Cricetulus griseus: one gene and its partners. The protein of the gene in region 3 interacts with the protein of the main gene of each other region in a biochemical or structural test. Links are inferred from orthologs where the notes say so. Each region holds a gene or a part of one and is shown on either strand. Other genes may lie near its edges. The genes, in order: Abl1, Hck, Erbb3, Shc1, Rasa1, Tns3 and Rnf41.

Region 1 (3,500 bases), on a different chromosome or scaffold from region 3:
AAGACATCAGGGTATGTGAGGTGTTGGCCAGAGAGATGACTCACAGTGGGTAAAGTGTTTGCCTCACAAGCCTAAAGACCTTTTCGATAAGGAACATAACCGTACACAAGATAAGGTTATTGGTAGTACATTATAAATGATAACGATGCAAACAATTCACATGTGTAGCCGATAACCAGATTAGCAGCCCAGTCTCAGACGCACTCTGAGACCTGGCTTAAACCCCGAAAGAGAGCAAGCGCCTCTCCTCGCTCTTTATCCTACCCTTCTACGTACCTGTGGTCAGCAGTACAGGTATCTAGGATCTCTCCCAACACCTTTCCATCCCATAATCAACAAAGGGGAAAGGAGAGAGGTAACTCCACAAAGTTGTCCTCTGACATTTACATGTAACAAAGTACACACACACACACACACACACACACACACACACACACACACACACGCACACACGCACACGCACACACACATACATGCATGTACTCACATACATAAATGCACACAACATGCACATAAAAATGATGGAGAAGGCTTTTCCACACTGTGCAACAGAGAGCTGCAAAGCAGTCTGATCAGTGACATTTACCAGGCTCCCCATGATAACAGCCCAGGAAAGGTAGGACAGAGCAAAACTGTTTACTCATACTAAACTAAAATATGTGAAAGGAGAGAAGGGGAAAGGTGACCTCTGGGTTACAGGGTCTCTCAGGTAAGTGGCATAAGGGCTAGATGTCAGATACCATGTTCCGCTCATAGCTCTGTGACTATGTAGTCGAATGCCTGTTTCTAGGTGGGTAAGATTATCCCCACAGTTTGTAAAAAATCTTGTGAACTCTGAAAGTCTTTCTTCCCTCCAGCAGCACTGGGGATCCTCAGAAAAACAAGTGACTCAGATCTGGGACAAGGAAGAGGCCTGGGCTATCTTGCCATTCTGGACAGCATGGATGTTATGAAAGACTACAAGGTATACTGACAAAAGGGCGAGGGAGGAGTTCCCACTGGCCAAAGACAAGATGCTCCACTGTTAAGAAAAAGAACTACAGTACACTGAAACATATCAGTGTGTCAACACCACAAAAGACTAGCAAATCCAACTGCCACCACTACAGGAAAGTGGGAGCCATGACAGGCAGCTCACTTGAACCTATTTCTGCACCAGCTCTACCACTGAGTAGCCAAGCACATACCAGGTTTTGTCTTTTACACTCTGTGGCTAACTAAATATGGAATGAAGGAGTTAGAGAATGATCACATGACAGCCCCCAGTGAACCACCAGTTCTGGCTCTGGTCATTAAGAGCTGCTACACCACATCCCACACAGCAGTGGTTCTCAACCTTCCTACTGCTGTATCCCTGCAGGCCAGGAGAGGGCACCAGATCTCATAACGGATGGCTGTGAGCCACCATGTGATGTGGTTGCTAGGAATTGAACTCAGGACCTCTGGATGAGCAGTCAGTGCTCTTAACCTCTGAGCCATCTCTCCAGCCATGCTGTGACCCTTTTAATAGCTCCTCATGTTGTGGTGACCCCCAAGCATAAAATTATTTTATTGATACTTCATGACTAATTTTACTGCTGCTATTAATCATAATGTAAATATTTTTGGAGATAGAGGTTTGCCAAAGCAGTTGAGAACTGCCACACTAGAGGGTAAGAAGTCAAGCATTATGGATAAACCGATCTAAGGGCGTGCCACTTCCTCTAATGTATTAAGTGAAAGAAAAGTCAACCCAAATGTCATCAGGTATCCAGATCTGATTTTGAATTTTCTAAGAGGATTGAAGCCACAGGCACTGAACAGATGACAGCACAGGAACACAACAAGCAAAGTCCAGAATCTGGAAACATCTAAAGGAAAAGTGACAGAGTTTATCAATAAAGAAAGCAGTAGCAGGGAAATAGAGTCACACAGGACACATCAACTATTGCAGTGAGTGAGCCGAGCTGGCTCTCACATGGAACTATACACACAGACCTGGGTTTATGGTTTAACTGGAAATGTGAGCACTGGATATCTGATGATATTCAGAAGTCAGTCAAGACTGGGTGTAGCACTGTGCTGTATTAGAGGAGTCATCTGTAAGATGCAAATACTGAAGTGCTTACATGTAAAATAATGTAATGTCTGGAACTTGCTTTAAGATAACAAGAGGTGGCCAGGTGGTGGTGCACGCCTGTAATCCCAGCACTCAGGAGACAGAGGCAGGTGGATCACTGTGAGTTCGAGACCAGCCTGGTCTACAGAGTGAGTTCCAGGACAGCCTCTCCAAAGCCACAGAGAAACCCTGTCTCAAAAAAAAAAAAAAAAAAAAAAAAAAGGGCGTGGGTGGGGCAAAGGGCTCACTACTCAACTCCATCTTTTCTGGCCATCCTCAGCATGAAAAGTTCTTTAAGTCAGACACTGTGGCACACGTCTTTAATCCCAGCAATTGGGAGGCAGAGGCAGGTGGATCCCTGAGTTTGAGGCCAGCTTGGTCTACAAAATGAGTTCTAGGACAGTTGAAATTATGTAAAAAGACCCTGTCTCAAAGCAAAGCAAAGCAAAACAAAACAAAAAACAACAACAAAAAACTTTAAAAATAAAATAAATACCGAGTGGTACTTCCACATGAAGTGCTGACTGCAGCCCAAACCAAAGTGAACAGCTCTCCTGCAGAGAGAGTGACTCTGGGTGTCAGCCGGGTCATAGCTGCACCATCAGGGTTACAGCTAGCTAACATGGAATGAAGACACGAATGTGGTGCTACCCTAAAGGTCACTTTTGCTTCATTTTTGAAAGAAAACAGAAAGAGGGTTTTAAAATAAGCCAGAAACAAACAAGAAGGTGTAGCAATGAAGGAGAGATGGCGGTAGAGAAGCAGAGGAGGAGGGCTCCCACTAGCAAGGACTGCCCAGGACCTGGCCCTTACCCCAGACGTCTGACTTGATAGAGAACTTGTTGTAGGCCAGGCTCTCGGGCGCGGTCCACTTGATGGGGAATTTGGCTCCAGCATGGGCCGTATAGGTGTCCCCTGTCATCAACCTGCTTAGGCCAAAATCAGCCACCTTCACCAAATGGTTTTCCCCAACCAGGCAGTTTCGAGCAGCAAGGTCTCTGAAAAAAGGAAAAGAGCCATCTGTACAAGCTCCTCGCTGAGCCCTCCTCCTCCCCCACCAACTCTGCAGCTTCTTTACTGTTGGCAGATGATGTAACACTGACACAAAGAAAACCAAGTGTGGTCTCTAGAACTTTCAAATGCCTGGCTGGGGAGCAACAGTCTCCCATCAAATACTAGTCGGGCTGCAATAGCAGCAACACAAGCAGACAGGGTGGCAATGTGGACAGGTCCTGTCCCATGGCCTGGAGCATGTTAATTACCTTGGAACTCAGCTATCTCACTCATAAAATGAAGATAGTAACAGGGCCTGCCATGGGCAGCTGTGTGTGAAAATGGATAGTATGTAAAGGGCTTTCTCTTGATGCCAGGCACAGGGAACAGTTAGCCTAAAGCTCAACTG
Region 2 (3,500 bases), on a different chromosome or scaffold from region 3:
TTTGAGGCCAGCCTGGTCTACATAGGGAGTTCCAGGGCAGTCAGACCTACATAAGGAGACCTTGTCTCAGAGAGAAAACATTGATGAATGTTAGCTATCTTTTCCCCTTGTTGATACTGAGGAAACAGAGAATAGAATGAAAGTCATCTAGCAGGGCTGAGACATGCTGACATCTTTTCAAGACTCTCTCCCCATTTTGGTACATGAACTGCTCCTTATCCCAGTGAGGGTGAAAACTGCTTCAGCTGCTACAAAAGGAACATTTCCATCAGTATCCAACATAGCAGAAAAAAGAGAGAGGAGAGAGAGGGGGGAGGAAGAGAGAAAGAAAGAAAGCTGTTTCCCTCCAACCACCCCAAAAAGTAAAAAAAAAAAAAAAAAAAAAAAAAAAAAAAAAAAAAAAAAAAAAAAAAAAAAAAAAAAGATGCTACCTGAAGTCAGGTGCTTGGACCCTGACCTCTTGGTGGTCTCTGCTCAGTAAGGCCTGGGCATCATTTGAGCAGGATAGATAGGTCCATCCTGAGGCTCATACTGTCCTTATTCGTTTCTGGCAGGTGGTTCTTCAAGGGTATCAGCCGGAAGGATGCAGAGCGCCACCTCCTGGCTCCCGGCAATGTGCTAGGCTCCTTCATGATCAGGGACAGTGAGACCACCAAAGGTGATACCAGCCCTTCCTGCCTCCTGTGCCCCTTGGTGCCACCTCCAACCCCAAGGGACATTCTCTGAGTAGGGCTGAGCAGCTCAGTCAAGTGGCCATGCGGCCAGGTTTTCTCCCTTCCTTTGCTGCTCTGAGTGATGGGAAGGCTAAGGGTCTTTGCTGAGTGACTCTCCTCAGTTTGGGTAAATGCAGGCTTAGGCCAACGGAAGTGGTTTAAGGGTCTTTGCTCTCTTCAGTTTTGGTAAATGCAGGCTTAGGCCAACGGAAGTGGTTTGAGCCCTGGCAACAAACATCCTGCTGCCATTTGGTCCCCACTAAATAGCTCCTGGTTCAATTTTTTTAAATAGCCACCCTACCGTGTCCTGTCCACAAGTCCCATTCCTCCTTGGCGAGGAAACAGTGTACAGTAAGGTACAGCTAGACCCAAAACAACCTCTGAGACTCACTTAAAATTCCCTCTTGGTGGGGGAAGTGAGATGGCTTAGCCGTAGATGCCTGGTAAAAGGAAAGAACCAACTCCTGTCCTCTGACTTCCACAAGCATGGCACAGCATGCAAGCACCCTACCCCACAAAGACTTAAGTGGGGAGCCCTTTGGGGGCTTGTGGATAGGAAGAAGCCATGGATGGGTAGACATCAGGAGTCTTGTCCTGAAATTGTGAGCTGAAAGGATGGCAACTTGAGTGAGTGACTAGAGTTTAAAACAAAATCACCTCAAACCACAGAGAGTGGTTCCAACTAGCACTGCCCCGTGAGTTTCTGCAGGCAGCAGCGCCGCAGGCTCTCCATGAGTTCAGACTCTACAGGTGCAGCGCAGTGAGCCTTTGGTTGTCATTTGCTCTCAAAGTCACTTGATTTGAACAGGTCACGCCAGTTATATAAAGCATGACCTGGTTGGTACTGTGAGGCACATAGTTTGAGGGACATTGAAGGCATCTGTGTGTCTGAGACCAGTTCTTCCATCTGTGTGAGGTCAGCCAACATTTAGGCTGCAGAGAGGCACAGTCCCTTACCTCCAGCTATGCCTAGAATAGTAGAGATTGGGCTGTCCAGTTCTGCAGAGAAGCAGAACAATCAGCGGGTGCTGTGGAAGACCTGTGGACAGAAGGATGGGCTGGGCTAGTTCCACAGCCCTCGGTTGGGGGAATCAGACAGATTTAGAATGAGGCCCCGAGCGCTGGCTACTCCCCAAATCCTGTACACCCTGCCTAGCACCAGCTACTCTGCCCCATGCCCCCACCCCACCCCACCCCCACCTTGACTGGGACAGGGTGGCTAAGAAGGGGCCCTGGAGCCAACTGGCTAGGTTTGGAACCCAACTGTGCCACTTACCAGCTATGTGACACCAGGTAAGTTATGTCACCACCTCAGTGTCCTCGCCTATGTAAAATGACGCTGATAATAGTATAAAACCTCTACCTCATGAGACTATTCACAATGATGAGCAATATAACTCATGTAATTTTAATTTATTAAAAATGCATACTATTCCCACTCATTTATCATGGAATCTTAATTTATTGAAATGCGGACTATTCCTATTCACATGCTGTTCCAGCATGCTTAGAACAGTGCTTGGCATGTACAGTCAGCTGTCACTCGGCAATCTAAACTTCCCCCAGATCCGATGACATTGTGTCATTAAAAAAGAAAAAAAAAGAAGAAAGAAAAGAAATGCAGAGAGGCTAATTAGGCCAGCTCGTACATTGCAAACTGTGGCCATGGACTGGAAGACCTGTGTGTCTCTGGTCTATGCGACGATCTGTGTCATAGCTGCAAGCTTGGTGGTTTAGAGCAACGTATCTACATTACCTCACAGTTCTGGAAGGCAAGAGTCTGAGCTGGCTGGGCTCTGGTCGAGGTGTCTGTGGGACTGGCTCCTTCTGGGGGCTTACAGGGTGGGGTGGCCCCATTTCTCTTTCCGACCTTTGGGGCTTTGAGAGGCCACCAGCATGCTTGGCTCATGGCTTTTCCTCTCTGAGTAGCCACCTCCCTCTGATAAACACCCCTCTGAATTCACTGGGATGCCCATGGGTTCTATGTCATGTAAACTCACATATTCCCATGTGCAGGGATTCACATGAATATCATGGACCATTATACAGCTGACCACAGTGCATTTTTCACATTTCTGTAATCAGACCAGATTTTCTTTTCTTTCCCTCTCTCTCTCTCTCTCTCTCTCTCTCTCTCACTCTCTCTCTCTCTCCCTCTCTCTCTCCCTCTCTCTCCTTTCTCTTCTCTTTACCAAATTAGTATGGCATCTTGGCTTTTAAATAGATGACAGATGAATAAATTATTGATAAATGGATGGGTGGATGGATGGATGGATGGATGACTATAGATCAAAAATAACGAAGTGATAGTGACAACCAGCCTACTGGCTGTCTCAAGTCAATTACAAGTATTACTTCTGTTGGTCACTGGGCAATGTGATGAGATGGAATGGCATGACGACTCCTATTTCACATGTGAGGAAGCTGAGGTATGCCATGTAGTCATTTGTCCAAGAGCTCACAGCTGAGAATGGCAGAACTGGGCTGGGTAACCAGGCAGCCTGATGCCTCAGCCCACTCAATGACATGAGCATCTGCCCAGGTGCTCACGTGATGCCAGCAGAGGCCTCACAGGGAATCATACTGACATCAGAAGGTCAGGCCTCTGAGGTGCCATTCTGAGGGGCTTCTCTTGGACCAATGCAGGGAGCTACTCGTTGTCTGTTCGAGACTACGACCCCCAGCACGGGGACACCGTGAAGCATTATAAGATCCGGACACTGGACAGTGGAGGCTTCTACATCTCTCCGAGGAGTACCTTCAACAGCCTGCAGGAACTTGTGGCCC
Region 3 (3,125 bases):
GCGTGCTGCCCAGAGAAGCACTGAGGTCTGAGGCCACATCCATGTACTCGTAACCCAGCTCTTCAAGGGAACCAGGCCTAGGGGGCCGAGGTGGGCTGCTCCTTCTCTTCCGGTTCATGTATTCATACTCCTCGTCCTCATCTTCTTCTTCAGTACCCAGCACAGAGCTGAGACCTACCGAAGAAGAAAGAGTACCTTCCCGGGAGGAGGATGTACCTGCGGTTGAGAAAAATTACAAGTATGTATAGAACTTCAGAGAAATAACAAGGAATGGGGTAAGTTACAAAACAAATGACTAGGAGACATCAGAAAATATGAAAGAATCTAGGGGAGCTTGGAGAAAAAGCCAGGTACCTTTGAGGTGTGTATCTGGCATGACATAGCCATTGACATCCTCTTCCTCTAATCCTGGTGGAGAGAGCGGGGTGACAGGGGTAAGCAGGCTGTGTCGCTGTGAATGGTAGGCGCTGTCTCCACGTGGCCGAGGGCTCCGGCTCCGGCTCCGGCTTCTACACACCGACACTTTCTCTTGGAATTCAGCCTCAGAGCCTGTCACATGGCCCTCTGATGACTCTGAGGCCAGACGTCCCCGTGGAATTGGATGCAGAGAGATGGGACGGGGGCACTGTTCGCTACCCCCCAGAACTGCAGAATCCTAAGGAGGAAAATAACAGGCAACAATACAAGGAGAGTTAAACTGATTTAGAAGGAGGCGTGGTTGTCCAAGGCCTTCTCTATTGCAGGGTGTTGATTAAACCTTCAAGATTTGAAGCGTCTTCCCTCCATATCTCTATCAACACTTCCAAGCCCTTAAGACTCTCTGCCACCCCAGCCTCCAGCTGCCGACTTACCAGACAAGCCTGCCCGAGATTACTCTGGTTCATGGGCATGTACCCAGAGGAGGGGCTTAAAAGACTCTGGCTCTAGGATGAGAAAGGAAAGAAAAGGGTTAAAATGAAGGAAGAACTCTTTTAGCATGGAGGGTTCATGGAGCAGAATCCTCTGCACTAAGAAGGTGTCCTACCCCACGAGGCCGGGTGAGCGTTCCCAGCGGTAAGCTGAGGGCAGAGCCCAGTGTGGTCGCCAGGTTGTCCTCCTCGGCCTCCAGATCCAGGTCCAGGTCCAGCTCAGGCTCCAGCTCTACTTCCTCCAGCTCTTTGTTTGTCAGGGCAGAGGGTTCTGCCCCAGGAGGCATTCCAGGCCCACTCTCCCTCTACAGGAGCAGATAGCCATCAGGTGGATTCTAGTTCCAACCAGGTCTTCTCTCTAAATGACTTGGCACCCTCAAACCCCTCCTCACCTTTATGACCAGATACCGAGGTGGGTCACGGGCCATCCTGGTGAACTCATTGGCTAGTTCTTTAAAGGTCGGGCGGATATTCTCATCAATCATCCAACCTGTGGATGAGATGGAGGGGTTAGTGCAGAAGAGAAGAGAGCCAGCCATGGAGGAGAAAGGAAGGCAGTCAGCTAGAAAAGCAGGGGTCAGCAAACAACTCACACTTGACCATGACCATGTAGACATCAATGGTGCAGATCTGGGGCTGTGCTAACCGCTCTCCCTTCTCTAGCAGGTCTGGTATCTCAGCCAGTCTCAGCCCCGCATAGGGCTCTGCCCCGAAAGTCATCAACTCCCAAACTGTAACACCTGATGTAGAAAGAAGTGAACTAGTAAAGTATGAAAAATAGATACAGGCTATTTAAAAATAGTAAAGGGGAGGTAGACTGCTTTAATACAAGGATCAAAAGTTAGTTAGGTGGAGAGTTCCTAAGAAGAGGAGACACAAAAGATAGTGGGGGACTTGGGCTGATGACATGGGGGCAGCCAGGTATGCGCACCGTAACTCCAGACATCACTCTGGTGTGTGTATTTCCCAAAGTGGATACATTCAAGGGCCATCCACTTAATTGGAGTCTGAAGATGAAAGATAAAGGTATTATCAGTTAATTTTCACAAATGTCCTTACTGTCTTTAAACCACAAGTTCTCTACCATCCTTTGTTTTCTGAACTTAACATTTTCTGCCATTCTCAGTTCCCTCTCCTCAGACTGACCACGGCTCACCTACATATCTCAGAAAGAGCCCCCACTACTCCGTACTCCAGGCTCCTCCTACTGGACATCCCCACCCTTGTCACCTTACCTTGGCCTCGCTGTGTAGTAACTGCTTGTCTTCTGGTGGCAAAAGGTCAGCCACACCGAAATCTGCCACCTGCACCTGACTGGGTGACTTGAGCAGCACATTGCGGAGAGCGAGGTCCCTGTGCACCATGCTGTGTTCCTCGAGGTAATACATACCCTAGAGGAAGAGCCGGCCAGTCACTGAGCAACAGAAGCTGCCCAAACCCCGTGTCCTCAGACCTCAGGCAGGCCCTGACTTTCCCCAGTCAGCGGCGGCTATCACAGTCTCCTCTCACCTTGGCAATTTGTACTCCCCAGTTGAGCAGCAGCTGTGGCCCCAGTGCTCCACGGTGCTGCCTCACATAATCAAGGAGGGAGCCCAGAGGCAAGTACTGAGTGACAAGCTGCAGAGCCGATCCTGGGCATAGTCCCAGGAGACGCACAATGTGGGCATGGTCTAGGCTACCAATGGCCAGCATATGCTGCAAAACGTAGGAGGTATTAGCCAGGAAGAAACAGGTCCAGGTTCACTCCACAAAAGCACACCCAGTCCACCCAATCCAGAGATCCCTCTAACATACAAGTACAGCATGCCTAACATGGATCTCACACACTGCCTGCCAACACAAGATCGTATGTCTACATGCCTGGATCCAGCACTGCCTTTCTTTTAGTGGCATTCGGGCTTGCCTTCCTTCACTTACATCAGTCACAGATTGAAAACTCTGCCGCCCACTCTTGTCCTCGATGACTTTAATGCAGACTGGAATCTTGATGGATTCTCCCTCAGGGATCCAAACCCCCTGAAAAGTTTGGGGTAGACATAAAAAAAAAATCATTCTTTTCATGTTAATCTTTTGCCAAAATCCTTCTCCCATTTTTCTGACGTCTTCTCCCCGCTTCTCCAGGCTTCCGTGAGTCATTCACCTTGTGGACAGTTCCAAAGACACCAGAGCCCAGCACTTTAAGCTTCCTCAGCTCTGTCTCTTTGAAGATTCTAGCCA
Region 4 (4,250 bases), about 64 Mb from region 3:
GCGAACGAGATGGACTGCATGTGATGGTTGGCAATGATCTGATGCGGGCAGGGGATGGAGAAGGAAGGGAACAATCAAGGTCAGCAGCCTCAGGGTCCCGTGTACCCTCACCCCAGCTATGACCTTGGCACCCACTCTCATTCTCTCATGTGGGCAGGGGATGGAGAAGGAAGGGAGTGGTCAAGATCCCGCGTGTCCTCACCCCAGCTATGACCTTGGCGCCCAGTCTTTCTCTCGGCTTCTAATCCTACACTCTTCTAATTTTGTTCTATTTGGCGGGGGTGGGGGGAGTGGGGGGGTGTAACAGGGATGCAGGGTCTCACTGTATAGTTGGAACTCAAACACCTGCCTCTGCCTCTGGAGTACTGGGATTAAATTTGTCACTATACCCAAGCCCTCTAATTTCTTCCTTCTCTACTCTCCAGTTGCTCCTGAGGACTCCAGGTTTTTGGCCTCCAGATCCCCCCACCCCATCATCCCATAACTACCCCCGTCCCTTTCAGCAGCCCCACCCACCTGTTTGCAGTCGGCTGCCATGAGGTTAAGGCTGCTGGTAGACACAGTGAGAGTGATTGGCATTCCAGCAAACTTCAGGTTACTCCTCCCCAGGATAGAGCTGAGTGGGCGGCTACAGGGCTAGGAAAGGCCCCAAGTCTCAGAACCTGAGCACTGGCAACACCAGGAGACACTTCTGTCTCCTCCCCTTGTGCCTGCGGTTGCCTTCCCCCTGCCCACCACAACCACACATACCTTTCTCCTCCTTGTGGCTCCTTTGGCACCAGGCACGGCTTCACACACCAAACTGATGGCCTCCCTAGAGAAACAGGGGTACTCAGACCTACTCCTGGCCTCCCACTGCCTGGGGCTGCCACAAAGCTGGGGGAGGGGAAGAGCAGGCCAGATTCTCAGAGCACTCCAGGCTCTTTGTCGTGGTGGATTGAATTAAGGGCCTTTAATATTTGATGACACTGAGGGGCTGCTTCCTGGCTGATTGGGTTAGGGCCTCAATGGTTATAGCCCCACCTCTTCCCAGTTACCAAATTTGCCATTCCCTTCCCAAAAGCAGCCTTTTGTAATCCATCGTCCCACAGTCTCCCAGGCTGCGTGGGTAAGGTGGTGCTCCAGACCAGAGCTGGCTCTTTGCAGTCAGACACACTGGTGTAACTTTCAGGTCTCTTAGCCACCCCATGAGAAGTCACCATCAGCACCACCACCAAATGCCCACCTTTCCTCCTCCTCCATACAAGACTCCAACAATACACCTGCCTCTCCACTAACCTGGTGACCTGAGTCCGGGTATTGAAGTCAAGGGCTCGCATTGACTGCAGGACCTCCACACAACCCATGTACTGTGGGGGAAGGAGGCAAGGATGGATCAGCTGCCCCCTCCCCGCAATACCCCACCCTTTGCAGAAGGTTCTAGGACTGTGCCCTATGTAGTCCCTAAGGGAAGTAAAGGTAAAGTAGCCTTCCTACTTCCTGGGGCCACCACCCCATAGTGAAGAAGGGCCACCAAAGAGGACCTTCATGCACTGTGGAGAGATTGTGAGAGGAGTTGTAGGCACTGGGTGGGATGGAGTGACAGCTATGGAAAAGGGAGGAGTCTAGAGGGAAGAACCCAGAAGTCATTTTTCATTCAACACTTACTAAAAGCCTCTGATGTGCTTGACCATTGTGTAAGCTGGGGGTAGGGATCAAAGGAAAGGGGACCTAGGCAGAAGACTCCCAGGCTAGAACAGAAGGCATAGAACTGGAGAAGGGATGTGGCAGGCAGGGTTAAGAACTAGGGGAATGCCACAGATGTTGGGGGAAGAGCAGGAAGTCCCAGCAAATCTGGAGTGAGCAGAGGAACTGGATGGGGAATGGGAGGGGGCAGAAAGGAGGATGTACACTCACCCGAACCAAGTAGGAAACCCCAGGTCCCATGACTTTGTCGTTGGGATGCAGCCAGCCTCGTGTGGGCTTATTGACAAAGCTCCCGTGTCTGGTCCACTCCTCGCCCCCCAGCTGGCCCCCTTCTACCCGAGTCCTGCGCCCGCCGCCTCCACTCAGCTTGTTCATGTCCTGGAGGAGGGGCAAGAGGCCTGAGTCCCGAAGGGCTGCCCCTGCATTCCCTTCCCCATCTTCAGCAGCCTTTCCTGGCTCTCCCTTAGGCCCCAGGCGCCCCCCAGCAGGATTGGCCAGCTTCAGGTTGCTCATCCGGGGAAAGAAGGAACACAGAGTAGTCGGACTATCATCCCCCGGCAGAGGAGGCAGAATGGGTCCCAGGGATGAGGCTGACGGGGAAGGCAGCTCTTCTGTGGGGGTAGACCCTGAAGCCCCCTCCTCCAGCGATGACAGAGACTCATTTCGAAGTGGGTTGTACTTCGGCTTGGGGGGTAGAAGATCCATGGCTGGGGTGAGAAGGGGGGCTGCTGCCTGGCCCGGCCTGGCCCCCCTGCCAAATTCAGGCAAGGGGGCCAGGCAGGGGGCATCCCCAGGCCCTTAGCCTGGTCTGACCTCTGCAGCCTGGTGATAACAGAGGACCTAGGGAAGCGAAGGACAAGTGGCCTCTGCTCTCCCACGTCAGACCAAGACAGTTTCAGGCCACATCCTTGCCCAGCCCTGCGAGGAAGCCTCTTATGGCTGAGGAGTACAGGCTGGACCCAGAGCTGACTGGCTCCTCCCCAGGGGCGGGGAACCAAGGGGAGAGACCAATCCCAAGGACAATGCTGACTCACAGGCTCAGAGGGGCAGAGACACCTCCTCACACAATGTGTGCTAGCCAGGCCACTCTCCCTTACCCAATACAAACAACTAGGGTCTGTCTGGGGAGGATGAAGGTGCCAGGTAGGAGAGAAAGATGGAAGAATAAGAAAAAGAGGAAAGAAGGAAAGGAAGGAGTTAAGAGGAACTCTGGATTAATCCAAACTGACATGGGCTAGCCAAAGAGAGCAGGAAGCCCGGAAGGTTAGGAGGGATAAAGGAGGAAACAGAAGCTGCTGAGGGAGGAAAGGGGGGGGGGTGATCTAGAGTTTAGTATTTCTCTTACAGCCTAGACCATCCCCACCCCCCACCATACAGTAAGTGAGGTGGCAGCCCCAGGGAACCTGGGCCATTAGCATCCTCAGCCACAACAGCTGTGGACAAGAGCAAGGAACCAGGAAGAGAAAGTTGTCCCAGTGGGTGTAGATCGAGGCCAAGAGGGAAGCAAAGCTGAAACAGGAGGAATAAGGCCAATTTGGGCGGTGGTCTGGGAGCTACTAGGCAAGAGCTAGAGCAAGCCTGTCCCTTAGGCTTGTTACCTACCAAGGACCAATGGACTTCCTGGACCCCTTTCCAGAGGATGTAGAGACAATCAGGCTACCTTTAGACCTACAGACATATTTCTCTCCTTACAGGCTGTAAGGTCCACCCAACAGTGTCCCTCACACTAGTAGAGGAGTTGGCCTTGGAGGTCTGAAAATGAAACAAACAGAACTGGTGCCTACAAGCCACAAAGGGATAATAGGGCCATAAACAAATCAGTGTTAATAAAGACAGGAAGAAGAAAGGGATACCAGAGGTTGGGATCTGGCCATAAGTGCATAATAACACCAAGCCCATATTCCTTTGCCCACAGCTTCCTGCCACAGCTCTGCTAAAGGCCATCAGGAAGTTAAAGAAAGTGACCAATCAGCATTACTCCAGAATAAACTATCACTTATTTCCTTTAAAAAAAGAAAAAGGGGGGGGGGGAGAGGCAAATACAAGAAGTAAAAGGTAGTTTCTTTACAGGCTCACCTCCAAACTACCTTTAGGTTTAGTTTGGAGAATTAAAAACTGTATGATTGTGATTAACAATACCGGAACTTAAAACGGGTTAAATATCATTCTTCCGATTTTTCACCTGCCCTTAGTCCCCATCCCAGGAGAGCTGTTACTGAATATCGAACTTCTTCCTGAAAAGAAACTCTGTCATCCCGTCTACTAAGTAAGACCTCAGCTCTTAGAGGAGGAAAAATTCTGCCACAGCCATACACTTCCAAACACACACAATGATTCTTCATCTTGAGAGATGGCTTTCTCTAGGAGCGTTCATATCCAGAGGCAAGGAATGACCAAGAGTATGCACATTTGGAAGAAAAGGAAGCATGAGCCTTTAAATCTGCTTAAAGAGATGGGAGATTATCTACCGGACCAAAGCTAGGTAGTGGCAGCTGGGGGAGAGCCGTGTTTTGTACCTCAGCCCAGCAGGGAGGAAGCTGGAAGGGTAGGAAATAGCAGGAAAT
Region 5 (4,217 bases), on a different chromosome or scaffold from region 3:
GGTGCTGGTGGCCGTGGTGGTGGCACACATGCCTTTAATCCCAGCACTGGGGAGGTAGAGGCAGGCAGATCTCTGTGAGTTCTGTTCCAGCCTGGTCTACAGAGCTAATTCCAGGACAGCCAGAGCTGTTACACAGAGAAACCCTGTCAAAAAAAAAAAAAAAAAAAACATATATATATATATATATATGAACTACTCTAAGTCAAATTTTATGTTCATTTTTAAATATATTTAAAAATAATAAAATTACTTCTAATAGATTTCTCACAAATAAAATTTTCTCCAAATAATCATGCTTAATCTTAAAAATTTAGTGTGAAAATAATCTGTATTTTTCCATTCCATTTTGCTGTCAAGTTTAAATTCCTCTTTTAAAGCATATTATAACCTACAAAGGGAATATGATGGCTCAAGCCTACTATCCCAGCACTTGGGAGGCTGAACTGGATCATCACCGATCAAGGGTGGCTTGGGTTATACGGTGAGTTACAAGCCATCCTACACTAGAATGACAGCCTCTCTTAAAGAATAAAATAAAATAAATGAGTCTGCTGGAAATAATTTAATAATAATACACTGGGATGGAGAGATGGCTCAGCAGTTAAAAGCACTTGCTGATCTTTCAGAGGAGCAGTGTTTGGTTCCCATCACCCACAGAACAGCTCTCAACCACCTGTAACTCCAGTTCCAGGAAATCTGATGCCCTCTTCTGGCCTCTGTCACTGGACACTGTCACAATGCACATACACACATGCAGACAAACACTCATAAAATAAAAATAACTAAAGTTTCAAATGCCTTTAAGAAAACAAGATTGTAAATATGCCTAAATCAAATTCAATTACAAAAATGGCGTAAGACCACATTCTCTCATTATACTGCATTTTATTATAATAAAAGCATAACTGATTTTGGCAAAAAAGGTATATACACAATGCCGGAATTTTTTTAACACAGAATATTCCTAAGATAGACTGCAATACACAGACATAAATTAGATTAAAATAAGAAAAGAGAGGTTACACTTTGTGATGAATGACATAAAAGGAACATAACTCCCTTTCACCATAGCTGGGAAGTATCAAAACAGACCTAAACTGAAATCTGAAAATGTCAACAAACACAAAGCTTTCTGACCAATGCATTTCTAAATCACAACATGCATTCAAAAGAGCAGTAAATGTAGCTTAAATGAGAATGGATTACTATTACAAAATGCTTCCCTGATTGTCTTTAGGTCATTTCTTAAGCCTCTTAAGAAGCTGACCCTCCCAAAGAAAACTTCTCAAGTGTCCAGAAAGTGTCAATATATGAACCAAATCTTTTTTCCTACAATTACCAATGGTGTTGAAATTCTAAAGGTCAATTACGACTGATTCGAAGGCTCTATAAAACATGCTTCGTCTATTATTACCACTTCCCACCTCAACAATTTTCCCTCATCAAAATCAACCTACATTTACAAAGACATACCTATTTCACTTAGGAAAAGAACACATTAAAGAGACAACTCTAAATTAAAAGGGAAAGCCATTTTCCCTGATTAATTCACAATAAACTACCAAAATTAATTTCCAAACAATACAGCATCAGCCACGACCAATATTTTATTTTTTAATGTTTTGTACTGTCTCAGTATAGAAGTATTACATGAATACTAACAACATTAAGGAACAAGTTAGTGTTCAGTGTGTGAGCCCTTAATCACACCTGTAATTCACAGAACTTCCTTCCATTCTCGGCTGCTTCTCTAAAGTGATCTAGTCTTTTCTGAATCACAACTCTCCCAGTAAACATTAAGTAGGGATTTGCAACTGCAGCAAAAAGAAAACATTCTGACCAATGAATTTCCAACTTACATTAATGTAATACCCATGTAAACACCTGTACTCATGGTTCTCACTGTAAATCTAGATTCAGCAGGGGCATGGGAGGTACCATAGACAGTGGCTGCCTTTACAGTGCCAAGTTCTGCTGAATCCCGGACACTATCTCAATTAGGAAGGGGCAGAACCATATCCGGTCCTCACTGGATACAGTTTCCCATGCTTCCCATCTGAAAAACTTTGTCTTGCCAGAAAAGCAATACACACACGAGGACGCCAGGGACAGTGCCGTAGGGAAGATGTCTGGTCACATTAAATCCCTACATAAGGAACGTGAAACTTCAAAACTTTTCAAACAAATTACCGCCGCAGGAGCATGGTCTGTTTTGCTTTCTTGCCCACTTCTTTCATGGAACCAGCTTCCACAATCCCTCAACAGCATTTTGGACTTACTGGTTAGTGGGAGGTGCGGTCAGCGGTATGGCCACCTCTTCCTCCTCGTATTCAGGTCCATCCAGAGAGTCACCTTCATCCACCGTGCCCAGGCCGGAGCCCAAAGGGGGCAGCTGAGGAGGCGGCGGCAGAGGAGGGAATCCGCCACCCGGCCCGAGGGTCTCGGCAGACAACGACAAAGTCCCCTTGGCGAAAGGAACATCCCCAGCAGGTCCGGCGGCGGCAGCACCCGCCACGCCAGCAGCAGCAGCAGCAGCACCGCTGGTCAGCGCGGCGCCCCCCAGGACACCCGCCACTGGCCCTGTCGCCAGGAACCCGGACCCCAACGCGGCTCCGCCACCCAGGGCCGCAGCCAGGTCGGCGTCTGCCAGCCCGGGGCAGGGGGCGGCTGCCACCGGCAGGGCCGCGGGTAACTTCACCCGGCACGCTGCCGGGTAGGCGCTGGAGCCCGCGGCCGCACCGCCTGCGGCCCCCGCGGTGGCCGGGCCGCCTTCCTCACTGCCGGCCTCGGCCGCCATCATGTTGAAGCCCGCTCTCCTCTAGCTACCCCGGCCGCCCGGGAGCCCCGGGGGCCAGCAGGCCCGGCCTGCGAGCCGCCCCACCCAGGCGCGTCCCCCTTCAGCTCTCCAGGCAGAGGAAACAACAACAAAAGGAGAGCGCCCGCCGCCGCGCCCCCTCCTCCGGCCACAGCCCAAGCTCGGCGGCTGCTGGCTTACGGGAAGCGACGCGGGCAAAAAAGCCCAGTGCCTGCAGAAACGCTACCCGAGCTGGCCGCGCACACCCACACTCACGCGCACACATGCACAGGGCGCCAAACTTCCTGGCTACGCTAAAGAGGAAGGGAAGCCCGCTGCAGCGGCCAGGGCAGCGCTGCCTCCTCCGCCACCGCCGCCGCGCCTCAAGGCCCGGGTTCCGGCCGCCCCCACCGCAGCCACCGCCGGGGCTGCCGGAGCCGCGGCCGCCGCAGCCTCATCTCCGCCGGCTGGAGACCCGGGCGCTGGGAGGGGCGGAGGAAGGGGGCGGGCGCGCACAACCCGACTCGACGGCTGCCTGCCGTCCGCTCTCGGCAGCGAAACCCGAGAGAGAGGGAGAAAGGAGGGCGGGCCGCGGAGGAAGGGAGGGGAGCAGGAGCCCGAGGCTTCTGCGCAGGCGCCTTCCGGGAGCGCGTCTGGAGAGAGGCCAGGGAAAAGCAGCCCGGGCAGCAGGAAGCGGCGGCGGAGCGGCGGCGGAGCGGCGGGCGGGCGGGCGGGCGCGCGCCTGGGGGCGTGGCAGGCTCTCTCGCTGAGCGGCGAGAGACGCGTGGCGCGCTCCCTCCACGCCAAAGGTTCTGTGCGGGCCTGCCTGCCTCTCCCGGCTTTGTTTGCTAACGGGGCGACAAGGAAAGTCCCTCGTGTCCACGCCCGAGGGACCGGCGGGACGAGGAGGTGGTGGGAAGGAAAGGTTGATGTCAGGAAGTCCATTCCCTTCTTTCTAACTTGAAGAAAAATGTCCTCAACCACCGGTGCAGTCGGCAACAAAGGTCAAAGCAGTAGTCCCAGTTTATTCCTTTTGGTTGCACAATGTTAGTCGCCGTGCTACTGTCACACGGTAAAATAATTCAAACCTAGAAGCTGGGACTCAAGAAAAAAACTGATGAAAGGAGCCATGGAAAACTGTGAAGGTGGAAACACAGGCAAAGCCAGATTTCTACTACTAAAGTTCCCTGCTCCGAATGCCTCTCTCACACGTTTGCACGCCAGACAATAAAGTGTGAACAGGAAAAGTGCCTAGGTCAGTGTGGTTTTGTGCTAGTTTGTATTCAAGAGTCTGCAAGACATATCCAAATCTGAACTTTACAAAATTACCAAACTCAGATCAATGTCACCTTTAATATGGCCAAGGAAAAGATTTTGTTCGCCTTATGTGAATGTGTATATAAGTCTATAAGTTCATACACAC
Region 6 (4,231 bases), on a different chromosome or scaffold from region 3:
CGGTCAAGATTTGGAAAGTGAAGGGGGCTTTGGAGTTTTGAGGGAGTCAGAGGAAACAAAAGACTTGAGAAGACTGGTCCAGGGCTGATCAGTTAGGGGTGGTTTATCTTGATTTCTGTCTGATGGTGGGGCTTTTAGTGCTTTGACTGAGAATAGCAAGTCCCAGGCACCAGCAAGTGATTTACCACAACTGTCTGTGGCCAATGCCTGTGGGTAAATTGCGTCTCTGATTAATACAGGGTCAGGCTGGCTAGGATTTCTCCCCAGGTTTCATTTGCCTGTCACATGCTTATTAACTTTTTAAAATGTATACACAGTATTTCATTCAGAAAAAAAAAATACTAAGTAGTACAGTACAGTCATCTGGCTTGTGCTCAAAGATTCCAGTTCTCACTTAGTACATCCCATGTGTCAGAATTTGAGTTAAGATCCTTTTAGTTTGTTTATTGTTTGGGACAGGCTCTTACAGCTCAGGCTGTCCTGGAACTTGCTATTTAGACCTGGCTAGCCTCTCATTCATGGTCTTCCTGCCTCAGGCTACCAAGTGCTGGTAGTTAAGATCTTTAAAGAGGTCATTAAGGGTAAATAGGTCATTAGAGTGCTTCTGGTTAGACTTCTCATCATTGTGACAAAATACCTCACATAACTTCAAGGGAAGAAGTATTCGTTTCTGCCTACCATTTCAGAGATCTGACTGTCATAGCAGCAGGACAGTTCATGGCAGAGAGGAACACAGCTAGCCTAAGGGAGCAGCCTTGCAGATGCAAATAGCAGGCTGGGGCATAGAATGGGGCTGCTAGAGCTCCCTGCTGGCATCCTGATACCATGTGCCCAGACATCGAACATGGAACTGTGGAGTTTAATGTTCTCCTAGTCCACCCTCTCAGAATGGAGCTGTTTATTCCATGGCATTGCATGTTGAAAGTATGTAACTGGGGGCTAGAGGGCTCAGGGGTTAAGAGCACTGGTTGGTCTTCCCAGAGGTCCTGAGTTCAATTCCCAGCAACCACATGGAGGTTCACAACCATCTGTAATGAGATCTGGTGCCCTCTTCCACCCTGCAGGCATACATGCAGACAAGACACTGTATACATAATAAATAAATCTTTTTTTAAAAAAAGAAAGGAAGTATGTAACTGGCCTTTTTACTTTGTCCTCTGTAAACTAGGCTGGCCTCCAACTCACAGACATCTACCTGCCTCGGCTTCTTGAGGGCTGGGATTAAAGGCGTGAGCTACCACACCCAGCCGTGATTCTTTTTTCTTGAGATACGGTCAACATGGATCTCAGGCTGCCTTCAAACCCTATGAAATCAAAGGTGACCTTTAACTTCTAATTCTACCTCCAGAGTCCTGGGATTAGAGGCGTGCATATACCATGCCCTGTACTTGTGATACTGCCAATTCAACTGAGGGATTTGCGCATGCTAGGCGAGCTCTCTACCAACCAAGCTACATCCCCAGTCCACGGTGATTCACTTGACTGTCAATTTGACCAGACTGATAAACACCTATGATATTAATAGTGTGTCTGTGAGGGCATTTGCAGAGATAATTAGGCCATGACAGTTACCCTAATGACTGCAACATCTGAATAGACTTCGGAGAGGTTAGAGAACTGAGGTAGGTGGGGCCAGGCTAGAGGAAGCCAACCACACTTAATAAAGTGTGTGTGCGTGTGCGTGTGCGTGTGCGTGTGCGTGTGCGTGTGTGTGTGTGTGTGTGTGTGTGTGTGTGTGCGTGCGCGCTCTCACGGGAGTATGCATGTGTATGGGTGTGCCTGTGTCTCCATCCATCCCCATCCTTGGTCTCTTCCTGTTCTATCTCTGGGTTGGTGTGATGCCAGTTGCTCAATCACCACCACCTAACTCCTCCACCACTACTACCCCACCCCTCTACCACCATCTCACTCCCTACTCTCCACCATCCCCCACCTTGCTCTACCACACTTCACTCTGCCCCCACTCCCACCCCCACGATCACCATTCCACCCCACCCCACTCCACCACCCTGTTCCACCACACCCCACTCTACCACTGCTACCACCACCCCATTCTGCCATCCCACCCCTTGCAACCTCCCCACATCACCTACCATTCCACACTACTACCACCCCATTCCACCGCACCCCACCCCACCCCACCTCGCCCTGCCCCGCCCCAGCCATAATGGACTCAAATCTCAGACTGGGGGAAGAATACATCTTTCTTCCCTTAAGTTTTTGTACACCAGGCATTTGACACAAGTAGGAGTGATGTAAGCTGAGCCCTAATGATACCTCACTGATATTCTACAAATGAGAGAAGATGAGAACATACACACAAGATGGCCACGAGAGGACACTGGCAGCTGCAGCCAGAGAAAGATGCTGCAGGAGAAGCCAATCCCACCAACACATTGACTCTGAACTTCCAGTGAGAGGATCAGTTTCAGCCGTGAAGCCACTGAGTGTATGCTGCTGACAGCCTAGTCAATCAAGTGTGAAACAAGACATACTACATAGTGCTTTAGTCTCTCTAGGTACTCCGATCCTACCTGGTACCCCTTATTTTCAGCCATGTCCCATGGCCTATCCACCTGTGCCGTGATACAAGGTACATACCTTCATGTGACCACAACACTTGGTTATTTTGAAGAACATTTGTCTCTGCAGTCCGAAAGCTGAAGGCCCTCAACGAGTCTGCTCCAAGCATGCCTTCAAGTGACCTACCCAAGAAGTCTATTGTTGATCATGTGATCCTGGAGTGAGGTCACCAACGACCTGAAGAAGTTCAAAGTGCCTTGAGGTAAGCCCTTAACTTTCCTGATTATCTATAGATAGCTAGCCTGGGGGGCGGGGGCAGGGGCGGGAGATGAGATCAAATGTGGACATGTGAAATCTTAATCTGGATGCCTCACTGGTGACCAAAAGAATGTCACCCTTAGGACACCCACATGCAGGGAGCATTGGATATATCTCAGGTGGAACAAAGTTTCCTTCAAAGATTGGCCAGGAAGCAGCTCTATTCTTGGTGAGAAGGGCTGCTCCAGGGAGTCCTCAAAGCAACAGGAACAGAGTGTGGGTTTGGAGGAGTGGGGCAATGGGGCAGCCGGTGAATGGGGGAGCAGCTGGGGAGAGCAGCATCCCCCTATGGGACAGGCCTGTTGTCCCTCATCTTATGATTCATGCCCTCAGGATCTCTGGTCGTTGCTGCAGGCACGTCTATATTTACACAACCGGAAAAGCAATGTGTGGTCTCTCCTGAACACTTGGGTGATGTCGCAACAGTGGAAAGTTGGGAATCGGGGTTTGACCTCCTCACTGGGGGCTATTTATGAAGAAGTCTGTTGCAGGCTCTTGTCCTTAAGCAGTGTCTTTCTCTGCTAGGTCAGTCTTGGCATGTCTATCCTAGGCTTCTGTCTATCCTAGGAATAGATTGCAGTGGCCCAGATGAGACCAGGGTAGCTGGCTGCTCAGGAAAACCTCTGGGCCAGTGTCATGCCCCATGGTCAAGCCATGGTCCATCCTCCTGCTGTTGTCCTGGACCCAAGGCAGACCCAAACTGGTAACACTCAGCTTGGCAGTTCTCAGCAGCAATGTTCAGGACACTTCTAGATTGAGCTCTTCTGTCCTGAGGACACACAGCTGTGTGACTTGTCTCACCAGCCTTCTTGGGACTAGGGCTTTCAAAGAGGCTACTCCCAAGGAGGAAGGCTGGCCATGTCCTTCTCATGCTCCTTTAACTTCTTGATGTTCTGAGACATTACTGCGGCATCAGGCATAGTTCCAAGCACAGCCTGAGTTACAGGAAGGACAAAAACAAGCCACTACCACACCACAGAAGGAGTCTGAATACAGATGCCAGGGCCTGTTGGCAGAGACACCAGCACCTTAGTACAGACATGTGAAAGTTTGTGCTTTAAAAGGAGGGTTTGCTCGAATACTACTTTAGTATCTGATATGTGTGGGGTGGGGTGGGGCAGGGGTGTCGATGGGTTAGAAACCAGTAGTTTGAGGATGTCAGCTTTCTCAAGAGACAAGTGTCCCTAAACATTTGGATGAAGAAGGGGTAGGTTAGGGGACTCCAGCTGTTCTGTGGGGCATGACACTGGCCCAGAGGTTTTCCTGAGCAGCCAGCTACCCTGGTCTCATCTGGGCCACTGCAATCTATTCCTAGGATAGACAGAAGCCTCCTTTCTGCCTCGGTGTTGGAAAGATGGAGACCATAGCCACTGCCTACCTCCCTACCTCC
Region 7 (4,232 bases), about 140 kb from region 3:
GTCTCAATAAATCAAGAAGTCTATTTCTAAATTGTGTTCAGACCCAGTCTGAAATAATACTTAAAATCAGGCAAACAGTGGGAAAGCTGATGGACACCTGCAATACTAGCACCTGGGATTGAAGGAAGGAGGATCAGGAATTCAAGGCTAGCCTGGCCTATATGAGACCCTGTCTCAAAAAAATTAAAAAGTTCGGGCCGGACACTGGTGGCGCATGCCTTTAATCCCAGCACTCGGGAGGCAGAGGCAGGTGGATCTCTGTGAGTTTGAGGCCAGCCTGGTCTCCATATGGAGTGTCAGGATAAGCTCCAGAGAAACCCTGTCTCGAAAAACCAAAACAAACAAAAAACACTGTATAAGCTGGACAGTGGTAGCGCACGCCTTTAATCCCAGCACTCGGGAGACAGAGGCAGGCGGATCTCTGTGAGTTCAAGACCAGCCTCGTCTACAGAGTTCCAGGAGAGCCAGGGCTACACAGAGAAACCCTTTCTTGAAAAACAAAAAAAACAAAACAAAACAAAAAAATCCAGGTACTGCCTTCCACGTGGAAAACATTACTTTACACATAGACACCCAAGAATGCTGCTATAGGTGCAAAATGAGAAATACTCTGGAAGGAAATCGGGCTTTGAAAAAGGAGGGAAGAGGAGTGGGGCCTGAGGCAACGGGTGATACAAAAAAACAAGGTCAGGCATGGTGGAGTCTGTAATCCCAACACCTGGGAGGCTGAGACAGGAGGATCACTGCAAATTCAAGGTCAGCAGGGACTACAGGATGAGACCCTTCCTCAAATCATTGGTAAGGAGGGAAAAGTAGAGATGTTGCTCCAGGGTGGGCAACTTGTTCAGATATAGCAGTTAAACTGGGCTGACTAGATGCATGCCTACCGAGATAGAACCAAGTCCAAGTTTCCAGTGCCCTGAGAATTTGATTCAAAGAGGTACAGGAATGTTAACCAAACTCCTACTAATCAAACTCCTGTATCATATATATATATTTTTTTTTTTCAAGGGCTATGTTGGGATAAAATAATGGTGATTTTTACAAAGAATACAAATTCTCCAGAATATGGTACTTTGTTCATTAGTTCACCGTGCTCATCATCAACTACATGTTCACATGTCCTCTCAGAAGGAGAGATGATGTAAAACCTGGCACTTTCCCTTCTTCACAGTCCAGAAGAGGAGTGGTGGAGTTGATGTTCTTCTCCTCCCCATTTCCCAACAAGCTGGCACACACCTGTATCTCAAAAAATGCTTCCAGGAAGAGGTTCTATAGGCAATGCTCGGTCTCCTAGGGTCAAGACCCAGACCCAGAAATCAAAAAGCTTCCCGTGATGGGCAAATTAATAGGGGTTAATCTAAAAAAATAGATAAAGGGTTATTGACCAAGCAAAGAAGCAGGAGAGAGAGAGAGGTGTCTTGGGTTATTCCAGTCCTAGCTCTGCCACCCACCAACTTCAAATAAGGCATTGCAACCAGTTTCTCCAACTGTCAAACAGACGATGACATTTGCCCTATCTTACATACAGCAAATCAAACGACAAAATAAATAGGAAAGGAGATTCCAGACTGCTATTAGTTGTAGCAACAGAATGGCACAATAAATTCACAATGAGGACCAGAGGAAATGTTTGGAATTGCTTGTTCCCCCTTTTCAACTACTGGGAAGCAGGCCCTGTCACAGGGTCTACTGGTGACAGAGTATCAACATTAATGTACCCCTCTCCTTCCCTTACCACTATCCAATCCCATTCCTTCTTAGGGAAATACTAGCAGCCAGCAACACTGTAATTAGCTAACACTATTGTATAAGAAGTACCTGCCAAGATTCTCACAGGTCAGTCTCTGAGAACAGTGGCCTTGGTAACCGCCACAATTGCTACCAGTTGAGATGAAGCTAGTTTTTTAAAGGAAAAGTGTGTGCCGATCCCAAACATGCTCAATCCTGCTCGCTTTCGGCTCTCTCCTGTTCCTACTCTCTACCCACCAACTGTTCTGCCTCCTTGGGCTGGGGTGGGCTTCGTATAAAGCGAGTGGATGGATCGTGCGTGCGAGGGAGCGGGGCTGCAAATCATCCAGGGGCAAGGATGTCAGGAATGTAAGAGTCCTCCACGGAGGGGTGGGAGGGGAGAGGAGCGGCGAAGGAATAAAAGAGAAAGACAAGGCTGCCAAAGACAAGGCATGGGAAAGAAGCCAAGCTATGGCGCTTGGAGGGCGGAGGTTTGGGTTCCGTGGCTCCTGCCAAGGCTGGCCCCCAGAACGTTCCCCTCCTCGCCTCCAGGCCCGTCAATCATTGCCATTTAAACTCCACGTTGTCCCCTAGGCCGAGCCGTCTGCTCCTCCCCGGTCCTCGGGCCAGCCCAAGGCCACTCCCGCACTTCCCAAGGCTTCCCTGCTCCAGAGGACCTTCCCAAGCTCCTGAGCCCCCAGCTCGCCTCCCGACTCCTCCCAGCAGAGCTCCCTTCCTCCATCCTCCTCCCCCCCTCCACCCTTCCTCTCGACCCCCAGCACCTCCGACCCAGGCGCCTACCCACCGGGACCTCGCCCCCTCCGCTCCGCTCCGCTTCGCTCCCCTCCCCTCCCGGGTGAGAAGCTCGTTCAGGAGCGTTACGCACCGCCCTGGACACTGAGTGGGTTCTCCGGACGCGGGGCCGGGCTGCAGCTGAGGCCACGGCGGCCGCGGAGTGGCCTGGGTGCCGGCTCTCAGCCTCTCCCCGTAGGGGAAGGGGAAGGGGAAGGAAAGGATGGGGAAGAAGGTTCCAACCACTCCTGCTCGTCTCGGACTGACCCTTTTGCCACGCCCACCGCTGCTACGCAACGGGGCGGAAGTCCGTCACCAAACCCCGCCCCTTTGTTTAACTCGGCGGCGACGACCGGACGCTCCAAGCGAGCGGCCCCGGTTCGCTAGACCTCCGCTCTTGCCCGGAAGTTGTTAGAAACGGACCCCCGGCGGGATTTGATAGCCATTTGGGAGGGAGGACTCTATGCTCTCCAGGTGTAACGATCTGGGGCGACCGTGGATGTACTGCCCGGCCATGTCACTTCGTGTGCGATAACGCAGGTCTCGGGCGGGCGCTGCAGCTGATGCAACGTCGGGGCGAGATGGCCTCGGGACAACCGGTCTGCTACTGCTGCTGCTGCTGCTGCTGCAGCGTAACCTGCTGCTGTCCTCCCTGCCCCTCAGTTTCCAGAGCTGCTGTGGTCAGCATCGCGGAGCCTCCCGGCCTCGTGTCATGGGAAGGGACACAGCGGTTAACTCGGAAGGCTGCGGGGTGGGGAGGGGGGGAGGGAGGGAGGCAGGGAGGCAGGGTCACACCGCAAAGCTCTGACCCAGGGTGTTGTAAGGGTCGCCCGCCTCCCGGCCACATTCGATGGCTCTTGAGAAACTCAATCGTGCCCTGAAACACTGTGAAGGGTTTGGTTTCCTGAGGTTGCAGCTGCGCGATTGGGGGGTGTGGGTGGGAGAGAACCTGGACTTGGAAGTCACCGTGGAGCTTAAAGCGCTCTGCTATATAGGTAAGGGATCGAGCAAGGCAAGAAACGAGATTACATTTACCCCTTAGGCTAACCTGGTGCCAAACAGTATTTGTTATGTTGTCTTTTTAAAAAATTCACATTAGTGCATTTGTAACTCGTTTGTTTGTAAGAGGTAGTTGCCTTTGAGGACTGACAAGTACCCCGAGGGCACTAAAGGTGCTGGGTGTTTTAAGATCCAGTGAGAAAAGAAAATAGGAACCGGACATGCCCTGCGAAAAGACTTGCTTTTTATGTCCCGGATTCCATTTCTTCCAAAGGAGGCTGAATCTGCCTAATGTCTTTTCTAAAGCATAAATGCCACTTGATCCAGAGGCCTGGGCAGAACTGTTCAGTGTATTAAAGATGAAGGCCCCTATGTCTAAGTTAATGCCATATCCTAGGCATCGCTTTTTACCTAACTCTACATTTTCATGTATAAAACGGAATTTATATGTTTAAGAATAGCCGAGCAAAGAAGCGAAGAGAGGGGCTGGCATTCAAACTTCTGCCCGCTGCATTCCTAAGCCCTTGGACCTTTTTCCATTGTGCCACTACTTGAAAAGGAAAAAAAAAAAAAAAAAAAAACCCACAATCTTGCGAGCCTGGAGCGCCTTTTTCTGAGCCGAACTGAGGCGCCCCCTGGCGGTCGGTCCATCTTCTCCCGCGCGGAACTCATCTTCGTCGAGGCTCCTTTAATTCCTAAAACCTCCCCGT

What was found.
Region 1: the proteins of Erbb3 (region 3) and Abl1 form a complex in vitro, tested with the Homo sapiens proteins (2 studies listed by BioGRID and IntAct, with this or other methods). The link is inferred for Cricetulus griseus from reciprocal best matches to the Homo sapiens genes ERBB3 and ABL1.
Region 2: the proteins of Erbb3 (region 3) and Hck form a complex in vitro, tested with the Homo sapiens proteins (2 studies listed by BioGRID and IntAct, with this or other methods). The link is inferred for Cricetulus griseus from reciprocal best matches to the Homo sapiens genes ERBB3 and HCK.
Region 4: the proteins of Erbb3 (region 3) and Shc1 form a complex in vitro, tested with the Homo sapiens proteins (2 studies listed by BioGRID and IntAct, with this or other methods). The link is inferred for Cricetulus griseus from reciprocal best matches to the Homo sapiens genes ERBB3 and SHC1.
Region 5: the proteins of Erbb3 (region 3) and Rasa1 form a complex in vitro, tested with the Homo sapiens proteins (2 studies listed by BioGRID and IntAct, with this or other methods). The link is inferred for Cricetulus griseus from reciprocal best matches to the Homo sapiens genes ERBB3 and RASA1.
Region 6: the proteins of Erbb3 (region 3) and Tns3 form a complex in vitro, tested with the Homo sapiens proteins (2 studies listed by BioGRID and IntAct, with this or other methods). The link is inferred for Cricetulus griseus from reciprocal best matches to the Homo sapiens genes ERBB3 and TNS3.
Region 7: the proteins of Erbb3 (region 3) and Rnf41 form a complex in vitro, tested with the Homo sapiens proteins (2 studies listed by BioGRID). The link is inferred for Cricetulus griseus from reciprocal best matches to the Homo sapiens genes ERBB3 and RNF41.

What each region holds. Positions count from the first base shown.
Region 1 is NC_048599.1:143,524,716-143,528,215, reverse strand, and holds part of Abl1 (tyrosine-protein kinase ABL1), read right to left. Parts: intron 3,097-3,500; coding exon 2,912-3,096; intron 1-2,911. UniProt on the Homo sapiens protein: Non-receptor tyrosine-protein kinase that plays a role in many key processes linked to cell growth and survival such as cytoskeleton remodeling in response to extracellular stimuli, cell motility and adhesion, receptor endocytosis, autophagy, DNA damage response and apoptosis.
Region 2 is NC_048599.1:26,881,972-26,885,471, reverse strand, and holds part of Hck (tyrosine-protein kinase HCK), read left to right. Parts: intron 1-554; coding exon 555-658; intron 659-3,359; coding exon 3,360-3,500. UniProt on the Homo sapiens protein: Non-receptor tyrosine-protein kinase found in hematopoietic cells that transmits signals from cell surface receptors and plays an important role in the regulation of innate immune responses, including neutrophil, monocyte, macrophage and mast cell functions, phagocytosis, cell survival and proliferation, cell adhesion and migration.
Region 3 is NW_023276806.1:129,334,173-129,337,297, reverse strand, and holds part of Erbb3 (receptor tyrosine-protein kinase erbB-3), read right to left. Parts: coding exon 3,049-3,125; intron 2,925-3,048; coding exon 2,826-2,924; intron 2,604-2,825; coding exon 2,418-2,603; intron 2,300-2,417; coding exon 2,144-2,299; intron 1,916-2,143; coding exon 1,840-1,915; intron 1,649-1,839; coding exon 1,502-1,648; intron 1,399-1,501; coding exon 1,301-1,398; intron 1,214-1,300; coding exon 1,025-1,213; intron 924-1,024; coding exon 852-923; intron 656-851; coding exon 355-655; intron 217-354; coding exon 1-216. UniProt on the Homo sapiens protein: Tyrosine-protein kinase that plays an essential role as cell surface receptor for neuregulins.
Region 4 is NW_023276806.1:65,125,204-65,129,453, forward strand, and holds the start of Shc1 (SHC-transforming protein 1), read right to left. Parts: upstream 2,801-4,250; 5' UTR 2,392-2,800; coding exon 1,897-2,391; intron 1,350-1,896; coding exon 1,279-1,349; intron 815-1,278; coding exon 751-814; intron 637-750; coding exon 517-636; intron 39-516; coding exon 1-38. UniProt on the Homo sapiens protein: Signaling adapter that couples activated growth factor receptors to signaling pathways. Participates in a signaling cascade initiated by activated KIT and KITLG/SCF.
Region 5 is NC_048595.1:305,271,605-305,275,821, forward strand, and holds the start of Rasa1 (ras GTPase-activating protein 1), read right to left. Parts: upstream 2,801-4,217; coding exon 2,280-2,800; intron 1-2,279. UniProt on the Homo sapiens protein: Inhibitory regulator of the Ras-cyclic AMP pathway. Stimulates the GTPase of normal but not oncogenic Ras p21; this stimulation may be further increased in the presence of NCK1.
Region 6 is NW_023276807.1:96,332,004-96,336,234, reverse strand, and holds the start of Tns3 (tensin-3), read right to left. Parts: upstream 2,801-4,231; 5' UTR 2,641-2,800; coding exon 2,602-2,640; intron 1-2,601. UniProt on the Homo sapiens protein: May act as a protein phosphatase and/or a lipid phosphatase. Involved in the dissociation of the integrin-tensin-actin complex. EGF activates TNS4 and down-regulates TNS3 which results in capping the tail of ITGB1.
Region 7 is NW_023276806.1:129,471,360-129,475,591, forward strand, and holds the start of Rnf41 (E3 ubiquitin-protein ligase NRDP1), read right to left. Parts: upstream 2,801-4,232; 5' UTR 2,537-2,800; intron 1-2,536. UniProt on the Homo sapiens protein: Acts as E3 ubiquitin-protein ligase and regulates the degradation of target proteins. Polyubiquitinates MYD88. Negatively regulates MYD88-dependent production of pro-inflammatory cytokines.